Saccharomyces cerevisiae S288C: one gene and its partners. The main gene of each other region encodes a partner of the protein of the gene in region 3 in a complex. Each region holds a gene or a part of one and is shown on either strand. Other genes may lie near its edges. A codon is read from its position in the direction of its gene.

Region 1 (3,318 bases), on a different chromosome or scaffold from region 3:
CAAAACACCTTTGGATTTATTACATGAGCTATCGTTAGTGAAAACTATACTCCTAAGTGTCGATGGAGATTCGTCAACGCCTGAGCCAAAGATAGGCTTCAAACTTGAAATATGTTGGTATAATGAGGGTATTGATTTTTTCCAAATTTTGAATTCTTCATTTTTTATTTTGTTGTCTTCTGCAATATCTAAAGTGCTCATTTTAAGTGATTAAAGAAGGAAATAAATACGATACTGAAGGTATGCGGCTGAGGAGTGGTGCTTTTTCATTCATTCGATCATGAATATACAAAGTATTGCTTGAAAAAATCAATATGCGCTTATTAAAATTTCGCAGCAAAATCGGCCGAACCCTTGCAAAACAGAGATAGCTCCGCTTTATTCACGTGAAATGGGGTCGAAATTGAAGACTATCCAAATAGGCGTTGCCTATGCAAGGACGCTCCAATTGATATATCATCACTACGAAGTATATATATATGTAGAAACTGATATTTGATTAGGCTCCAACGCCGTTACAAACCTCTTCTTAAAATTTCCTCATAGTATTGTATATTTAGTTGCTTTTTCCTGGCCTGTATCAGATGTTGCAACCTTTCTTGCATAGATTCTAAAGAGTCAATCTGCTGGAGGTATTGTTCCTGATTAGTAGACACCCAATCCAAATGTCTGTTACACTTCCACTTCGTGCATACCTCATGTATTTTGGTGGCTTCCTCATTACTTCCAAAATCTCTGACAAATTCTTCCACAGAGCAGGGTATTCGCTCGTATGTAGAACAATAGCCACATATATTTTTCCTAGCCCTACTCCTGCTGCTATTTTTCTTCTTCTTCCTTTTTGTCCCCTTGGAATCTTCTTTACCACATTCCACATGGCTTGCAGCATCATCGTCCAGCTTGCGCATTTCGGTATATACGTTGTCTAACCATCCCAAATATACTTCCAAAAGTTCTAGCTTTTTTTTGAATAATGGTAGCGATATCTCTTGAACCTCTTGCAGATCATCTTCAAGAGTTTTTAACGTCATGTCTCGTACAACAATTTGATCGAATATTTCCTTTTCGTCATCTGTTTTTACAACTATATTGTTATCAATGAAATCCAGTTGTCCAAATTTCTTGAATTTATCTATGTGTCCTGTTTGTTCGACCATTTTCTTGACGACTGCTCTATCCTCATCTGTTTTCAATCGCGACCAAATATCATTCACAAATTCTCTACCATGTTCCTCAGAACAGTATTTACTATCCTGTAAACATGGTTTGTAGCAATCACTTATCCTACATTTTCTTTTCCATAAGGTTTTTGGCAAGCTCCCTTCACCATTGATTATGGCGTCCTTATTCTTACCAGTAATCCCCGCTTGACAGTAAGGACAATAAAAAGAGAACACCAGGTCCTTAAACTGCTCAGGAATATGAAGGCAGGTGAAATGAAACCAGTCATCACAACCATCACATCCCACCATCAGCTCCCCATAGTCTGGCCTTTTACATATGCAGTATACGTCCTCTCCTGTAGTTGGATTTCTTTTTAAGGTGGAATGCGGTGGACACCATTGTGGTAATGACATTAGAAAGATAGGCTGAGAAATTATTGAGGTCGAAGTAGCCTTTTCCAAATCTCTTGTTTTTTTTCTTCTGATGAGCTTCGTTTACATTTAAAAGTAAGCATTTACAAAGCCCAATTGAAATTGTTCATATTTTACCCGCCTTGGGTTATATGCAGTGTCTAATATGTAGCCGAACATATCAATTGATTCTAAAGAGGTAAGCTTAATCCTCTGTGCTTTAATTCATCTTAAAAAGTTTATCTGTTAAGTCTATCGAATATCGCCAAATTTACTGGCGGTATATATAAATAAATATGGAAAATATGAAAGGTTGATAAAAAAAGTTTTATGCAGTGAAAAAAAGGAAGAAGAAAATGGATCCATCAGTGAAGAGAAGGATTCATGTATCTTCAAAGTCTGATTGACCTCTCCATCGACAAATTATTTAATAGTTTGTCATAGGTAGCAGTGACTTTGACTTCACAATTTGGGTCGTCAGTTGAGACTGCAGGCAATGTTTCTACGGATCCTTTATCGGTATTGGGCGCAGATACATCAGAATCCACGCCTGGTGTAAATGTCGAAGCGCTATTCTGAATGGATTCACCATAAATGTTCTCCAATTCTATGTTGTTGGAGTTAACGTTCTGAATCAAATCATCGATAGAATCAATACCTTTAGCCTTCATGATTGCCGATCTTAAGACAGCACCGGATGGAATTTTTGGTAAAATCTTAGGATTAGCTGGGCTAAATAAACTAGTGGTAGCAGTTTCATTGTTAGAAGTTGAAACTGAAGGAGATGAAGTTGACTTACCAGCTGTTTCTGTGTTGATAGGCGTATCACCTGATGCAAAAGGTGTCTGCCTTGTTGATTCATTTTCAGGGTATAAAGACCTCTGCTGCTGAACGAAGAAACCCCATTTATGTAGTTCACCTTCTTCTTCTTCCTGCTTTTTACAACCTACAGAAGTACTAGATGATGTATGCTTGAACACCAATGGTTTGCCTGTGAAAACGTCAATAGTTTTACCAGAATCGGTGGCCATTAAATGTGGTCTTGCTGTAATTACATCATTCTCAGGTTGTATTTTTTCTTCGGGAACATGGTATCCGGATTCAACGTGCTTCAATGCTGGTAATTTTGAATCTTCGCTGGAGTCAACACTTTCCTTCGAATCATCCCTGCTGGATCCAAGGACATCATTCAGATTCGGATTATGCGAAAACAATTCTAGTATATTGCATAAGTTTTGTTCCAAAAGGAGTAATCTTACAAGGTTTTCTTTTTCTTGCAATGGCAATTCACCTGATTTCCTTTTTTCGAACATAGTATCTATTGTATGCTGAACATTATGGTGCAAGATATGGAACTTTTCAATATATTTTTTCAGCAAATATCTCTTCGTGGTGTCTTTTTTGACCTTTGTACTCTTATCGCTTAACAAGTTCAGTTTTTCTAAAACACTTTCAGCGGTCATAGTTACTAAAGAGCCATCGAATAGCAAATCATCTTGCGAATCCAATTCATCTAACTGGAAAGTCGAATCCATGGTCCGTTTCATATTTCTCATCAAGCACAGTGCTATTCTTGATTGAATCTCTTCTGATATCAAATCATAGTCAAAATCTAAACCAATCAAGTTTGGAGAGTCTCTAGCAAATGCGTAAAGTGTGGATGAAAAACTATTTTTAGCAAATTGGCCCTTAACGTCCAATGTGCTCGAACTATCCAAGTCGCCGTCTGTGTTAGTTTGTTGAA
Region 2 (3,758 bases), on a different chromosome or scaffold from region 3:
TTCATCATGTTCTTTTGATACGCGAGTGATCCCTTCATCGTTCAATGGGGTAGTTTCTTTGGAATCGGTTTCTTCGTTCAGTAAATGTGCCATTGGTTTGATACCATTGGATAGCTTTTTCCTCTTTAAAGAAGTATGATCCAACGCGAGTGAATTATGCCTTTTTAAATTTCTTTTATTAGATTTTGCATAGCCACCATATAAACCAAACAAATCAAAATCTCTTTTGGCTTCTTCTTTACGTTTCAATTCATCTTCAGCAATTTTAGATGCAATCTGTTGTCTCTTCTCTTTCTCCTTTAGTTCTCTTTTAGCTAACAATTCAGGAAAATTTGCATGGTCCAAAGCATCAAATACCGTAGGACCAATCAATCTCTTCTTAATATCAACATGTAAAGTCTTTTCCAAATCTTTTAATATTTGTTTTGCTGTAGCTTCAATGAACTCCTCTTTGGACTCGTATTTTATAGGTACATTTGTAGAATTTGAAGATGAGCTAGATTTATTGAATCTAGTTCTGTTTTGGAACCTAGGGAGAATGAGATGAAACTTTATTAGAATAGGAATTCTTCTGCTCCGAGACATTATTGTTAAATTTCCTGACTCTGCATTCGAACATGTTTGCGCATGGGCAATGTCATTAAAAATAATATAGATACCAGTTGGATGATCAATAAATTTCGCACATCTGTATCCCCTTAACTTGTATTTAAAGTCCTCAACGCAGAACCTATGTTTGGCAACAAATATTTTGGAGACATGTAAAACAGGTCTGTTATTAACTACCCCCAAGAGATCATATGGAATTCTTTTTTCACTTCCGGACGAATGAGATAATGTGTCTACCTTAGGTTCCTTGGGCAAGGTAATATCTTTGCCCTGTAATTCCTTTGCTTTTTCGTTTTCTGCTTCTTTCTCTTTAGCCTTCTTCAGGTTCTCTTGTAACTTCTGTAGCTTTTTGACATTTATTTCAACAAATTTAGAAATGATATTATTCAAAATGGAATGCTTGTTTAAAATCACTTCGAACTTGAAGCCCATGATAAAGCAACCCGAAGATTCGTGCTTTCTAACGGCACTAAAGGCTGCTTTTGCTGCATCATTAATTTTTCCATCAGAACTGGCATACTTTATAAGATAAACATGCAAAGGTAAAGCGCTATTAGGATCATTAAATGCTTCAAAATGAGAAATTTCTCCATACTTTTTAAAATAGTTTTTTATTGATATGTCTTGGATATTGGTTGTTGTTGAATCTTGCGCTGGATAGACAACTATTTCACATGAAGGGGGAGGCCCTAAGGAGTACCTGTCATAAGATATGCGAGGCAATAGAATTAGTGAGTTCCTGCATTTTCTGTGGGTTGCCACTTTTCCGCTAGTCATGATACCGTTTTCATTACGTGGGTCGGATGCTTTTATCTCCGGATGTCTGTGTTTTATTTTGAACTTAAACTGTCCATCTTGTAACTCTTTGACTACGTAATAACCTGTTTCAGAAAATTCTTTATCTGTAGCCTTCCACGAAAGCATCTTATCCTTATTGAAGAACTCGCCTTTTATGGGATCAAAATAATGAAACTTAGACTTCAAATTATCTGTGTTGTATCTCAAAACTGAAGGTGGTCTTTGTTGCAAAAGCAGAGCAGATTCTGTGGGAAGAGATCCACTCGAAGACGCTAATGTATTGTGAACATTGCTATTTGAATACCGTGATTGAGACATGCCCCTCCGACTACTGATGTCAGATTTCTTATTTACATATGGGCCGCTTTGGCTGTTGTTAGTAGCATAGTACTGTCGCGTACTTGCATTGTTTGAACTATGTGGGCGATCGTCATTATAGCGTCGCCTTGTACCATCATTATGGTTATAACGTCGACGTTGATTATATTGACTAGAATATTGTTGGTGAGAATGGCCGTTTGAATACTGATAGTGACCAGAACGCGAATATTGAGGCTGTTCCTGGGGTTGTCTGTATGAACCAGAAGACGCGTGTGCTCTTCTATAGTAATTTGACATTCTCTAAACGCAGAGACCTCTTATAAAGATTCAACAAATAAGGAATGTTACCTATGCTAGTCGCAACTCTCTCGTAAGTTGAGGGTTGCTAACAGAAAAACGATGAGAAGAAACTTTTGAAAAATATTGTGTGAAAGCAGCACGAAACAGAGTATGAAAAAAGAATGCGGGCGTCCGTAAAGAGCTAGAATCGCAAGTGTCCAGAATATGCAAGGCTTTCGAATACACTCCTCACGCTTCTCTTCAGCAAAAATCAACTCTTTGTGATAAAACTGTGTATTTCTTTGTTCTTTGCCGTTGTTTACGTTAGTAAGAAATCGGCATTGAAAAAAAAAATCTCACACTAAAATTGCAGAAAAAAGTGTACAATATCAGTAAATAAAATTGGCCAAAACAATACCATTAAAACCAGTCATGTCCATGCAACAAGTCCAACATTGTGTCGCAGAAGTACTTCGACTAGATCCACAAGAAAAACCGGACTGGTCGAGCGGATATTTGAAGAAGTTGACTAATGCGACATCGATTTTATATAATACTTCACTGAACAAGGTAATGCTGAAACAAGATGAAGAGGTTGCTAGATGTCACATATGTGCATACATAGCGTCACAGAAAATGAATGAAAAACACATGCCTGACCTTTGCTATTATATAGACAGTATTCCCTTGGAGCCGAAAAAAGCCAAGCATTTAATGAACCTTTTCAGACAAAGTTTATCTAATTCTTCACCTATGAAACAATTTGCTTGGACACCGAGCCCCAAAAAGAACAAACGCAGTCCAGTAAAGAACGGTGGGAGGTTTACTTCTTCTGATCCGAAAGAGTTGAGGAATCAACTGTTTGGTACACCAACTAAAGTTAGGAAAAGCCAAAATAATGATTCGTTCGTAATACCAGAACTACCCCCCATGCAAACCAATGAATCGCCGTCTATTACTAGGAGAAAGTTAGCATTTGAAGAGGATGAGGATGAGGATGAAGAGGAACCAGGAAACGACGGTTTGTCTTTAAAAAGCCATAGTAATAAGAGCATTACTGGAACCAGAAATGTAGATTCTGATGAGTATGAAAACCATGAAAGTGACCCTACAAGTGAGGAAGAGCCATTAGGTGTGCAAGAAAGCAGAAGCGGGAGAACGAAACAAAATAAGGCAGTTGGAAAACCGCAATCAGAATTGAAGACGGCAAAAGCCCTGAGGAAAAGGGGCAGAATACCAAATTCTTTGTTAGTAAAGAAGTATTGCAAAATGACTACTGAAGAAATAATACGGCTTTGCAACGATTTTGAATTACCAAGAGAAGTAGCATATAAAATTGTGGATGAGTACAACATAAACGCGTCAAGATTGGTTTGCCCATGGCAATTAGTGTGTGGGTTAGTATTAAATTGTACATTCATTGTATTTAATGAAAGAAGACGCAAGGATCCAAGAATTGACCATTTTATAGTCAGTAAGATGTGCAGCTTGATGTTGACGTCAAAAGTGGATGATGTTATTGAATGTGTAAAATTAGTGAAGGAATTAATTATCGGTGAAAAATGGTTCAGAGATTTGCAAATTAGGTATGATGATTTTGATGGCATCAGATACGATGAAATTATATTTAGGAAACTGGGATCGATGTTACAAACCACCAATATTTTGGTCACAGACGACCAGTACAATATTTGGAAGAAAAGAATTGAAATGGATTTGGCATTAACAGAACCTTTATAACATATCCAGTA
Region 3 (3,275 bases):
TGTAATTGTGCTATCGTACCCCAATGAAGTCATCGCCAAAGAATCTCCGACTAAGAGTAAATCACAATTAGCCTTGTTAACCCATGTTGCAGTAATGAAGTCATACGCAGTACACATCGACAAAGGCGTACCAGTAAAATATTTGTTCCTGATATCCTGAATCGTATTATATTTGACAACGTTTTTTGCTGTAGAAAAAAATCGCTTAGAGGAGGTGCATAATTGTCTTTTCATTATATTCATATTGTGAGTAAAAATTTCCCTAATTTTATGGCAAGCTAATTTATTAACAAGACAGATGCTAGCTATCAATGCAGTAGGTAATCTGTACTAAGCTTTTGTATAGGCTGGTTTAAGGCGCGAGTTCTTCGAGATGTGAACACTTAATGTTGAAAGCTGCCCGAACTTCCCTTAGTAGTTTTTTAGGATATCTTACTCATCACGCAAGACAGCAGCAGTGAAAAATAAAAAAAAAAATTAGAATAAAGTAAAAAATATCTGGCTGAAAATCCGATCCCTTAAAACTTTTAAACGTCTATAATATATCTATATATACTCTTGTGTTACACCTTAAGGGAATGTCTGTCGTGTACATAACGCAGATTCTTTAAACCCATCTCCATAAACAGCAATCTCCATTCAATGCAAGGGAACACATTATATTACCGAAGCAATGTATGCTCATTACAGGGCTGCTGTGGTGATATAAAGAACCATCGAGCAACTGTAAGAGGCTTTTTGTATCAGAATTCCAACAATATATATCGCCATTTTCATAACCGCTGATCACCAAAGGAGTGGATCCATCTTCAGGATTTAAGAAGTCCATACCGCAGGAATGATGCAGTACGCCCTTTTCAAGAGGCTGAACCTGGAAAGTACGAACTACACAACCCCCGATGCAATCCCATATTTTCACTACACCGTCCAGCGATTTCACCAGGAGATATCTTGCATTCTCAGAAAACTTAACTTGGGAGATGGGTACCACACCATTTTCTCTTTTCCAATCCTTGTCATAGGTCAATGTCTTCAAACAATGGCCCGTCTCTGCATCAAAGATCCGTATGAGCCCGTCATATGAACCTGAACTCAGAATGGATGAATCATTCATGGGTACGTCCACCGACACAACTGCTTCTGAGTGTGCAGATATTGTTTTCATCAAAGACCCGTTCAGTGTGTCCCATATTTTGATACTTTCGTCCATTGAGGATGTAAACAGCAAGTTCCCCTTTCTATTGAATGTCAGAGATATCACTGGCGCTGTATGGCCGATAAAAGTGTGCAGCAGCCCATAAGATAAATGAATGATTTCCACAGAAAAATCATCCGATGCAGTAGCTATGCACTGTCCATCTGGAGACCAGCATAACTCTGAGAAAGGCCTGGCATGTGATGTGACTAGTGTTTGTGATACAGTTCGTCTGTTAATGTCGTATATCAGGATGTTAAGTCCTTGTGTTATAGCAAGAAACTGCCCATCAGGAGATATTTTCGCACAAGTAGCTTTCAATCCATTCTGTGTTCCCACAGGAGTAACAAACTGGAACATGTTAGCATATAATGGCCACTTGCAAATGAATGAGCCTACGCTCAAACTTTCCAATATCTACCGCCAGTGATGCACAAGCATTTCTTATGGTCTTGCTTTTTTCACTCCTCGGGTAACCATGCAGTGGCAATTTTATCCTACCTGAGGTTATTAAAGTATATTATGTAGTTTCCTGCTCACTGGAGAGGGAATGAGTATTAAATAGACAAGACCAGAAACAGCCTGCATACCAACTATGAATATCGTCCCACAAGATACCTTTAAATCTCAAGTCTCTACAGATCAAGACAAAAGTGTTCTTTCATCTGCAGTGCCCTCCTTGCCAGACACATTACGCCAGCAAGAAGGCGGTGCAGTACCTCTTTCCACACAATTGAATGACAGACATCCATTAGAATCAACATTGAAGAACTGGGAAACCACACAGCGCCAAAGACAAATGGAACAGTATCGACAAATATTTGGCATTGCCGAACCAATGAAAAGGACGATGGAAATGGAAATCGTCAATCGTACCGACTTCAACCCCCTTTCAACAAACGGTAGTATACACCGTGACATACTACTGAACAAAGAGTGCAGCATCGATTGGGAGGACGTCTACCCTGGTACTGGCCTACAAGCCAGCACCATGGTAGGTGATGACGTCCACAGCAAAATCGAAAAACAATTAGGCATTTAAAAATTGCTCTCAATTTCTTTATACATCTGTCACGTAAACCATTGAAAAGATTAGATTAGTGCCGTAATACTTATACTACATAGTTGTGCCACACTATATTTTTAGTGTCCTATATAGTCCGCAATTACCCTATGCCTTTTTTTCAGTCGCACTGAAAAAAAAAAAAATTTTTCATATTTCCACTTATAGGTTGATTTGATTTGATGGGCCTTTTGGAACTTTTCACAATACTACAAATACCCACACACGCAGTTCAGTGGTCTCTTCGAGTTCATCATTTCCATTCGTACTCCTTGAGCTTTTACCTTCCTTCCTCCTCCCCTATATACTCAACTTCTCAGCCCACATCAATAATGATAGCACCAGACTCGCAAAGATTATTCGGTTCCTTTGATGAACAGTTTAAGGACTTAAAACTAGATTCAGTCGATACAGAAAACAATAACACACACGGTGTTTCTACTATCCTGGATTCCTCCCCTGCGAGCGTTAATAACAATACAAACGGTGCTGTTGCTGCAAGCGTGAATACAGTCCCTGGATCGACGTTTAGATCCAATACACCTCTTTTAGGAGGTCGACATCCACTCAGTAGGACGTCTTCCTTAATCGATTCTATTGGTATACAGCGTGCTGCGTCACCATTTTCTTCTATGAAAGAGCCTTTTATTCCTCAAAGTTCGGGAGTAATGAGTTCCTCTTTTTGGCACGGCGACCATCCTGAATCACGGGTTAGTACGCCTGTTCAGCAGCATCCACTATTGCAAAGAAACGAGTCCTCCTCCTCCTTTAGTTATGCTGCTAATCTTGGAGTGAATCTGAGTACACATTCATTGGCGGTAGATATTACTCCATTAAGTACACCAACTGCTGCCCAATCTCATGTCAATTTGTTTCCGTCCTCTGATATTCCTCCTAATATGAGCATGAACGGAATGTCACAACTCCCAGCACCAGTTTCAGTTGAATCCAGTTGGAGGTACATAGACACGCAGGGACAGATTCATGGTCCATTTACTACCCAAATGATGTCACAAT

What was found.
Region 1: the proteins of SWD3 (region 3) and SPP1 are in contact, whole or in part, in a cryo-EM structure (PDB 6BX3), measured with the Saccharomyces cerevisiae proteins. Residues at the interface, in NP_009734.1 of Saccharomyces cerevisiae: Thr49 (codon at 1,411), Leu50 (codon at 1,408), Ser85 (codon at 1,303), Tyr86 (codon at 1,300), Gly87 (codon at 1,297); in NP_015187.1 of Saccharomyces cerevisiae: Lys206 (codon at 962), Leu332 (codon at 584), Arg336 (codon at 572), Gln339 (codon at 563), Gln343 (codon at 551), Glu346 (codon at 542).
Region 2: the proteins of SWD3 (region 3) and SET1 are in contact, whole or in part, in a cryo-EM structure (PDB 6BX3), measured with the Saccharomyces cerevisiae proteins. Residues at the interface, in NP_009734.1 of Saccharomyces cerevisiae: Lys15 (codon at 1,513), Thr52 (codon at 1,402), Ser53 (codon at 1,399), His54 (codon at 1,396), Ala55 (codon at 1,393), Arg56 (codon at 1,390), Pro57 (codon at 1,387), Ser59 (codon at 1,381), Glu60 (codon at 1,378), Asp75 (codon at 1,333), Asp76 (codon at 1,330), Phe77 (codon at 1,327), Thr96 (codon at 1,270), Ala97 (codon at 1,267), Pro98 (codon at 1,264), Ile100 (codon at 1,258), Met116 (codon at 1,210), Asp117 (codon at 1,207), Ala136 (codon at 1,150), His137 (codon at 1,147), Ser138 (codon at 1,144), Glu139 (codon at 1,141), Tyr159 (codon at 1,081), Asp182 (codon at 1,012), Trp183 (codon at 1,009), Glu186 (codon at 1,000), Asn187 (codon at 997), Val190 (codon at 988), Gln194 (codon at 976), Leu209 (codon at 931); in NP_011987.1 of Saccharomyces cerevisiae: Lys812, Ala813, Gln817, Ile818, Leu820, Asn821, Leu824, Phe825, Asp826, Ser827, Gln830, Gly832, Ser833, Ser834, Phe835, Lys836, Ala837, Glu838, Phe840, Arg841, Lys842, Lys848, Arg944, Trp950, Lys986, Asn987, Gly988.

What each region holds. Positions count from the first base shown.
Region 1 is NC_001148.4:290,851-294,168, forward strand, and holds SPP1 (Spp1p), read right to left. Parts: upstream 1,578-3,318; coding exon 516-1,577; downstream 1-515. Other genes in the region: UME1 (Ume1p), read right to left, coding at 1-201; protein phosphatase regulator GIP3, read right to left, coding at 1,967-3,318. UniProt on the Saccharomyces cerevisiae protein: Component of the Set1C/COMPASS complex that specifically mono-, di- and trimethylates histone H3 to form H3K4me1/2/3, which subsequently plays a role in telomere length maintenance and transcription elongation regulation.
Region 2 is NC_001140.6:344,310-348,067, reverse strand, and holds the start of SET1 (histone methyltransferase SET1), read right to left. Parts: upstream 2,026-3,758; coding exon 1-2,025. Other genes in the region: ORC6 (origin recognition complex subunit 6), read left to right, coding at 2,440-3,747. UniProt on the Saccharomyces cerevisiae protein: Catalytic component of the COMPASS (Set1C) complex that specifically mono-, di- and trimethylates histone H3 to form H3K4me1/2/3.
Region 3 is NC_001134.8:580,688-583,962, reverse strand, and holds SWD3 (Swd3p), read right to left. Parts: upstream 1,556-3,275; coding exon 608-1,555; downstream 1-607. Other genes in the region: ECM31 (3-methyl-2-oxobutanoate hydroxymethyltransferase), read right to left, coding at 1-243; UMP1 (Ump1p), read left to right, coding at 1,791-2,237; SMY2 (Smy2p), read left to right, coding at 2,591-3,275. UniProt on the Saccharomyces cerevisiae protein: The COMPASS (Set1C) complex specifically mono-, di- and trimethylates histone H3 to form H3K4me1/2/3, which subsequently plays a role in telomere length maintenance and transcription elongation regulation.